2 linked regions of the Cricetulus griseus genome follow. The protein of the gene in region 2 purifies or fractionates together with the protein of the main gene of each other region. This does not show direct contact. Links are inferred from orthologs where the notes say so. Each region holds a gene or a part of one and is shown on either strand. Other genes may lie near its edges.

What was found. The genes of interacting proteins can lie anywhere in the genome.
Region 1: the proteins of Blnk (region 2) and Syk purify together in Homo sapiens (affinity purification with western blotting; 3 studies listed by BioGRID and IntAct, with this or other methods). This does not show direct contact. The link is inferred for Cricetulus griseus from reciprocal best matches to the Homo sapiens genes BLNK and SYK.

The regions. Positions count from the first base shown.
Region 1 is NC_048596.1:271,551,521-271,556,376, reverse strand, and holds part of Syk (tyrosine-protein kinase SYK), read right to left. Parts: intron 3,111-4,856; coding exon 2,972-3,110; intron 1,378-2,971; coding exon 1,296-1,377; intron 807-1,295; coding exon 775-806; intron 1-774. UniProt on the Homo sapiens protein: Non-receptor tyrosine kinase which mediates signal transduction downstream of a variety of transmembrane receptors including classical immunoreceptors like the B-cell receptor (BCR).
Region 2 is NC_048596.1:20,642,156-20,646,075, forward strand, and holds the end of Blnk (B-cell linker protein), read left to right. Parts: intron 1-2,419; coding exon 2,420-2,539; 3' UTR 2,540-2,786; downstream 2,787-3,920. UniProt on the Homo sapiens protein: Functions as a central linker protein, downstream of the B-cell receptor (BCR), bridging the SYK kinase to a multitude of signaling pathways and regulating biological outcomes of B-cell function and development.

The sequences.
Region 1 (4,856 bases), about 250 Mb from region 2:
GAATTATCCCCTGGTGATGCTAACGGGCTGGGATGTCCACAATGAAGTCTCCAAGACATGAGAAAGCCAGCTCCTGCTGAGTAACATCTAAGTACCAACTCTGACATCCTGGATGGAGAAGGAGCTTGAGATTCCCTTCTCTTTCTGGGCATGAAGATGAAAGTGGTAATCCAACACAAGGACATCGAGGGCACAGTCTCATTGAGTGACATGGAGTGGGGTGTGCGCTCTGGCCAAGACTCCCAGACTCTTTCCTTCTCTGGACCTTTCTCTCGAGCTCTTACCAAGCACATCCTCCCTCCCCTAATCATTAGTCAAAATGATTTACCCAGGAGGTCAAGTCCCTCGTAATTCTGTGTCAGTTGGTTTGGCCAAAAGAATTGAGTTGCTAAACTCAAGGAGATACCCATCTGCTGGCCCTGCCCTGCTGCTATGCAGGTCGGCAGGCCTATGGGCAGCACACACGTGTTTGTACAGACTGAACTTGAACAATATGTCTCCTTTTTCTACATGTGACAGGAGGCCTTTCTGATCTAACAGTGGGTTTCTTCCTCATCCTGCATACTTACAGAGCATGAGGAGAAAGTAAGCCAGCCAAGAAGCCATGAAAATAGGCTAGCTTAGCAGTGGCCACAGGCAGGCGCCTTCCCAGACTCGCTGGAGTTCCCAGGTCTTCAGGGCTGTTTTGGAGTTCAGAACCTGTGCTAACTAAAACCCAGTTGTGTACTCAGACACAATTGCTTCCCCAGCAGAGGGACCTATAATAATACTCACCACAGAGTGGGCATTTGAACTTTGTGGGTGACCTGCAAGAAGAGTAAGCCATGGTGACAGTTAGACAATTACAGTGGTGTTCGTGCATACCATCTACTTGTCAGATCAGTCAAGATGACTGGAACATACTGAGGAGAGTGTAAACTTTCTGCATCAATGCTTTTCTCTTTTACTGGGTTTTTTACACCTTCAATTAAATAATATTTTTTTGAGACAGAGTCTCACTATACAGATTAGGCTGGCCTTGAACTCACACAGGTTGCCTGCCTCTGCCTCCTCAATGCTGGGATTAAAGGTGTGTGCCACCATCCCTGGTGGCAATTAAAAATCCACTAGTTTCCTTTAAAAGTTATAGTGATTAGTTATCCTTCAACTAATGATTCTTAGAATTGCAGTGACATTGAGCTTAATCACGTGGTAAAAATCGAAGCCTCATCTGAGTGTGGAAGAGACAAATCCGACACCAGGCTGACAGTGATCAGTTTCCCCCAAAGCAGACCCTCTGTGTCCCAGTCACTCACCCATCTGTGCGCCTATCTTTTGACATGGTACGGTGAGGACTCTTAGCAGTCCATCTGGCTTGTAAGAGTAATGTTCCACCAGCTGCAAGGGAAGCAAGGAAGAAAGTGCTTAGTAGAGGGAGGGAAATGGAGACAGTGACAGAATCATGACTCTCACTGACTTTAAAGCCATTGAAACCCCAGACAGTCTCTTCCACAGGGCACCTGGGAGATGGGCTTCAGATGTCCTTGGGTAGAGCCAACAAATTTTTAGCCTTGAAGCAGTGGGTCATATCCATAATGAAGAATGGAGAGTGAATAGATACATGCTGTTTACTGCTTAGCTAACATTCACCACTCTTCTTTTTTTCTTTTTGGTTTTTCGAGACAGGGTTTCTCTGTGTAGCTTTGGAGCCTATCCTGGCACTTGCTCTGGAGACCGGGCTGGCCTCGAACTCACAGAGATCCGCCTGCCTCTGCCTCCTGAGTGCTGGGATTAAAGGCGTGCGCCACCACTCCAGGCACATCCGCCACTCTTACACAGACCAGGACTCCAACCCAGGGGCCAGTGCCTCCCACCACAGCCTAGGTCTTTCCACATCAATTAATGCGCTCAAAACAGTTCCCACTGACACGCTCATGCTCTAATCTGGTCTATACAATCCTTCATTGAGACTTTCTTCTCGGGTGTTTTAGTGTGTGTCAAATTGACCATTAAAACTAACCATCACACAGACAGATGGCGATATATTAGTGATCTGAAGTCTCCACCCCCATCTTCTAGTCCTTTGTTGGCTTGGTTGTTTGTTTGCTGAGATAGGATTTTGCTAGGTAGCCCAGGCTGGCCTCGAATTTACTATGTACCTGAGGCTGGCCTTCAACTTTTGGTCCATCACAGTAAGTGTAGCTATGATGCCAAATTAAGGAAGCAACATGTGCTTAGTAGTAATTGAGGGGATCTGGGTGAACAACGTTGGGTGCCTCTACACGCTTGAGTTGTCTCTAGGTTTAATGACAGCGAGGTTGAGAATGAACCCTTTGCAGAGCAGGCCTGCAGAGTTCCTAGACAGGCAGCTAGCTGCCTGGAGCCTAGAAAGAGTAGAGATGCTCCCCCCCTCAGTTGCTTTAACTTCCCATGGGGGCTCTGCTATGAGGGTAGTCCCCATATGGCTTATCCACCCTAGTGTCATCCGGGCATCTCACAGTTCCAGGACCAGCTGGGTCACAACCCCTAGGTTCTTTTCTTTGGTCATCTGTGATTATGTGTAATGCTATTCCCTGATGGCAGGACTTTCTGTTAAATTCCAGACACTGCCCTGAAACACATGATCTTGAGGCACCAAGAACTTAATAGCTCTAGATGGAAACTCTGCAGCCTCTCTGACTTGATGTTCTCAAACACGCCATTTAGAAATCAGAGAGTGGATGGGACAGATAGTCTCGTCCCTCCCCTTCTTTCTAAGAGTTTTGGAACTAGCAGCCACATGGGCCTGCATTGTGCCCTTCAGAGGGGAGAGAGAGAGAAAGACAGAGACAGAAAGACATACAGAGAAAGACAGAGAGACAGACAGACAGACAGACAGACAGACAGAGAAAGACAGAGAGACAGACAGACAGACAGACAGACAGACAGACAGACACACACACACACACACACACACACACACACACACACACACACACAGATATATACGCACCTGCCAGAGGGTGTCGAACTTCTTCCCCTCAGGGATGGAAAGCTTCCCTGTCTTGTCCCTGTCAATACGGTAGTGCAACACCTTCCCTTCGTGCAGCAGGCACAGTGCATAAGAGCCATTGTTGTCTCGAGCCCTGATCCTGTAGACAGAAGACACAGGATCACCCCCTACTCTGACCCTCTGGCCCAGGAAACAGTACCCTAGCCACAGTGGATCACAAGTGCTCACCAGAACCAGCAAGTGGGCACATGCTTGGCAGGCAGCACCCAAACCTCGAGGTCCCAGGAAGGCTCAGTACCAGAGCCAGTGAGCCAGCAACAGGCACAGGCTTTGGGTATCTATGAGGCCCCTAGGCTCATCTTCATTTTTGTTTTGTTTTTTGAGACAGGGTTTCTCTGTGTAGCCTTGACTGTTCTGGAACTCACTCTGTACACCAGGCTGGCCTCAAACTCACAGAGCTCCTCCTGCCTCCCGAGTGCTGGGATTAAAGGTATGAGCCAGTCTCACCTCCATTTTTAAACCACGGGTGCAGGTGTGGTTTGGTTGGGGAATTCAGTGGGCATTTTAACAAAACCTTCCAGAGCACACATGAAAGATTAGGAATGCTTCAACTCTCCATGTTCTTCTTCACTTTCTTACCCGTTCCCCAATACCAGGGCCAGGTTTAAAACACTATTTGATATTATCAGGTGGCATTGACATCCCAGGCCTGAGAAGGGAATGGTAGGCAATGGTAGCCGTGTGGGATGAGTCAACACAGACAGCCTGAGGTCCAGCAGGCATCTGCAGATGAACTGAAGACTCCAATTCACTAGGTGACAACACAGAAGCACCCTTGAACAGAGACACTTGAACAGCACAGTCCTCACACTACAGGAGGAAGCAGTGATTCAAAACCTTAGGCCCCAGAGAGGGTGTGTTCCAGGCTGACACAGCACCCGGGGGTGTGACTCTTCCAGTTTAAAGCCTCATTCTCCCCAGCCTTGCCGCCCTCCCCACTTTCAGGCAATTCACACCCCCTGATTATGAGATCTGGGGAAGTGTGAGGCCTCTGCATTTGCTAAATCAAGAAAGATTGAATCTCAGCATTCAGCAAGCAACACCCAAATGCTCTGAGCTTGAGAATAGCTTAGTCAGGCCCCAGCCGCCAGGAGGAGAAGGGTGTCTGCAAACGGGCACCATCTGTACTGCTTTCTCCGGGTACAAGATGTCAAGACCACAGCCACAGTTCAGACTGAACTGGGTCTTGGAACCGGATGTGACCACACTTCCCTTTCTCCTGCCATGTAGCCCACCTCTTGAAAGGGGGGGGGCGAGGGGAGGTTGTAACTTTAAAATGATTTTCTTTTGATATTGTGCTTGGTTGGCACAGTGGCCAGGGTTCCGTCCAAGCCCCTGCTTGAAGCTCAGGGCAGCTGGCAAGATACACAAGATACACCTGGTGGGAGATGCACAGCCAAAGCCTTCTTGGCCTTTGAGGATGGCTATTCTGAAATTTCACCACTATGGAAACAGCCCCTTCGTCCTACAGTGAGTCACCAGCACCCTGAGGTGCCAATTCCTTTCAGATGGTCATGTGGCTGATGAGAGCCTTGTCGGTTACTGGGCAATACCCAAACATGCAATAAAACACCATATATGGACAGAGAGCCCAGTCTGTTCTCTGGTGAAGCCATGCACAATGTGTGCTAGCTCTATTTTGTAGACACCAGCAGCTTGCAGAAAGGGTAATGTGTGTGCAAACATACATGTAAGGGGCTGGTTTATGTGGCTCAGGGGGTTAGAGCACTTGCTGTGAAAGCAAGCCAGACACAGCCATGTGTGTCTACAAGTGTTGGAGGGTAAAGACACGCAGACTTGGGAACTTTTGGGCTTACCAGAGCAG
Region 2 (3,920 bases):
GAGCAGCCTGGGTGGATCCCTGGAGCAGGAACTTGTGGCAGTCATCTGTTTCTTGTGTTGGTGCCTTCTCCCCGAAAAGAAATTATATTAATCTATATTGAGCCTAGTCCTGTGAATCTTGATCCGTGCATCCTTAGTCCTCCAAACAATCAATGAAACTTCTAAATTGCTTTGTACCAGATGGTTATCTGTACTGAAGAAGTTAAGGGACACAATAAAGTCAATGGATACTAGTTCCATAAACCATAGAAGTATTGCAGACCTATTATTTTAAAAATCATAAATGTACCTACTTGATGAGTGTGAATTTTTGTATACTTAATGCATTTTATTATATTTATTTAATTATTATATTTATTTAATTTATTTATATTTATTTAATTATTATATTTATTTTAATTATATTTATATTAATAATTATATATTGTATTATATTTATTTAATCTTTCATTTAAAACTTTGATCATTTTTCAAAACAAACTTTCTGACATCCTTAAATCAAGACTTACAGACATGGGAGGTTCAAATATAGAAAGATTAATGTGTATGGTAGGAGTAGGGCATAAAGCTTCAGTATTGCTTTGTCATCAAGTTGGCTCTAAGTTTACAAGCAGCAGCCAAGTATAGACAGAAATAAGAGGATTCATAAAGCTCCCCTTTCTTTTTAAAAAGATTTTATTTATTTATTATGTATACAACATTCTGCTTCCATGTATATCTGCACACCAGAAGAGGGCACCAGATCTCATAACGGATGGTTGTGAGCCACCATGTGGTTGCTGGGAATTGAACTCAGGACCTCTGGAAGAGCAGTCAGTGCTCTTAACCTCTGAGCCATCTCTCCAGCCCCAAAGCTCTCCTTTCTTGTTCAGAAAAGAAAACAAAATAATAAATGTAGCTAGGAAATCAGTTTTCCTGGTACTGAATCCTAAGAGTAATTTATTGTATAAGTTGTTTTGCAGTTGGCTTCCATCATTATAATAAAAATACCTAACATAACCAACTTACAAAGATAAAAAGTTTATATTGACTCAGTTTTGAAGGTCTTAGTCTGTAATAGATTGGCCTTACTCTTTTGGACCCCATGGTTAAGTCAGTACATCATGGAAGAGTGAAATTACTCACAAGAAGAAGGAGTGACTGGTGTCCCACAATGCCCTCAAGGGCACATCCAGAATGAAGTAAAGACTTCCAATGAGGCCTGTTACTTAAAGTTTCCACTAGCATAATAGTGGCACTGTGGTTACCTTGCCTTTAGTATGCTGGTTCCCAACCTGTGGGTCGCAACCCTTTTGGGGGTAAACAACACTTTCACAGGGGTTGCATATATCCGATTTTGACATTGTAATTCATAACAGTAGCAAAATTACAGTTATGAAGTGGCAACAACAGTTTTATGGTTGGGGAGGTCCCCACAACATGAGGATCTGTATAAAGGTTTGCAGCATTGAGAAGGTTGAGAACCATTGCTTTTAGCAATTGGGCCTTTGGGAGATTGTCAAGACTCGTGCAAAATTACAAATAACTTGTGTAGTTGGAAGCTTTTCTCATCCTGCCCACCAGTTCCCAAATAACCACTCTAAAGCTTAATATTAATTATAATTGCTTGTCTGATGGCTCAGGCTTCTTACTGGCTAGCTCTACATATAAATCAACCCATTTCTATGTTCTATATTTTACCATGAGGCTCGTGACTTGTTACCTCACACCTTGCTTCCCCAGCGGCTACATGGCATCTCCCTGACTTGGCCTTCTTTATCTCTGTAACTCTGTTTGGGTTTCCTGCCTAGCTATATTCTACCTGGCCATTGGCCAAAACAGTTTTATTCATCAACCAATAAAAGCAATACATCTTAACAGCATACAGAAGGACATCCCACATCAAATTTGTGTTTTGTGAGGGATATAGAGAAGCCTATCACATGGCAGTTTCATGTTTGACAATAAAAACTGGTTTTTAATTATTTTTGAGACAGGGTTTCTTTGTGGCTGTTCTGGATTTCACTCTGGGCTCATCCTGTCTCTGCCTCCAGAGTGCTGGGATCAAGGGTGCTCTAACACACCCAACTCAGAAGCAAATGTTTAAACTCATTTAGCAAGACATTAAAAAAAAATTACATCCTAATCAGTGAGGTAACTTGACTAAGTAGGTATTCTAATTGAAGCTATCCATGGGGCTTTGGTCCTACTAAATACAGGAAGGTCCAGAACCTACCACCCTGCAGGCTCCAGTCTTTGTTAAACTAGATGGACACTTCTGAGCAGAATATCAACTGAGACCTGGTAACTGTGAACACCTTGAGAAAGAGAGGAGAGGAAAGGAGAGGAGAGGAGAGGAGAGGAGAGGAGAGGAGAGGAGAGGAGAGGAGCATGGAGGTAACATAAACAGATGTTAATTCACCCATTTTTCCTTCCCTAGTACTTTGGAAGTGTTGTGGACATCATCCAGAACCATCAGCACAACCCCCTGGTTCTTATTGACAGTCAGAATAACACAAAGGATTCTACAAGACTGAAATATGCTGTGAAAGTTTCATAAAGAAAGAGACATCGATCCCACTGTTTTAGACATTTCCTCCATTTCTTCTTTTGAGAAAACTTCATATTCTGTATCTGAATCATCAGCAATAGCAGAGAAGATGAATGAAGCCACTGAGGTGGTAAACTTCACTCCTTCATAAGATGCTCACATCAACTTTTCTAGTGCCTGACCTGATGAAGTGATAGCTGGGGAAGTTCAGTTATTACGCTACTAATATTCTCCAAATAAATGTATTTAAAAGAAACAGGTGTAATGCATTTTCAGTCATGTAAGAAAACAACACTGTATTTTTAACTGAGAAAATCATACTCTCGGATGCAACAAAGCTGCTGGGAGTTTAGGCCTGTCAGCAATCACTGCACCTGAATGTAGCCAGGCTGTCTACCACTGGTGCACGACAGTTATGTCTTAGTTAAACTTTTTTTTTTTTCTTTTTGAGACAGGGTCTCACTACGTAGCTCTGGCTATCCTGGAACTCTCTTTTTCTGTAGATCAGGATGACCTCAAACTCACAGAGATCCACCTGACTCTGACTTTCAAGTGCTGGGATCAGAGGTGTGCACCATCATACCCGGTTTTAGTTAAACAGCATGGCATGTTTTTATATGTCAGTTTCATGACTACTAAATTATGGGTTGAATTGTGTCTAAGGCCTTACAGATAAAAAGTCAAGTTAAGATGGGGTCAGTAAGGTACCCATCAGGCGACCTGTTGACATGTTCCTTATGAGGGAAAGAGCTGTGACTACAGGTGCAGTCATGCATAGCGAGAAAGAAGAGGCATCAGAGGAGGACACCATGTGAAGACTGGAACTGTGCACTCACAAACCAAGGGATGCCAACGATGGCTGCCAAACCAGCAAAGGCCAAGCAAGGGCAAGGGCAGATCCCCTCCAGGTTCAGAGGAAACATCGGCCCCTTTACACCTTGGCTTCAGACTTCAAGCATCTAGATCTGGGGGTCAATGAGTCAGATTGTAGTGGTCTGTGGTAATAACAGCCCTGTGAAATGAATACAATTCACAGACACTTTTTACAAATAACATCTTACATGTGTATATACACCAAAGTTTTGAAAATCTGGATAGAACATGTTTTCTCTGATAAAAAAAAAAAAGTGGACTTGCTTGGAATGTACTAGAAAGAACAATTTACAATAAGGAAGACTGAGGCAATCTTTTACAAAGAACACCTGCTGATGACAGGAAGTACAGGCACCCTCTGTGTTTTGCTCAGAGCTACATGGAAATAGTTTTTACTGTAAGTAAATCTTCATTCATTTCTTCTGTTACTGCAGTTATCATCCTTGTTCTCAGAGCAGTCTCTTTTGCTCTGTCTCCAACTGTCCTTCAGGTGGCACTTTCCAACAAGATGAAGAAG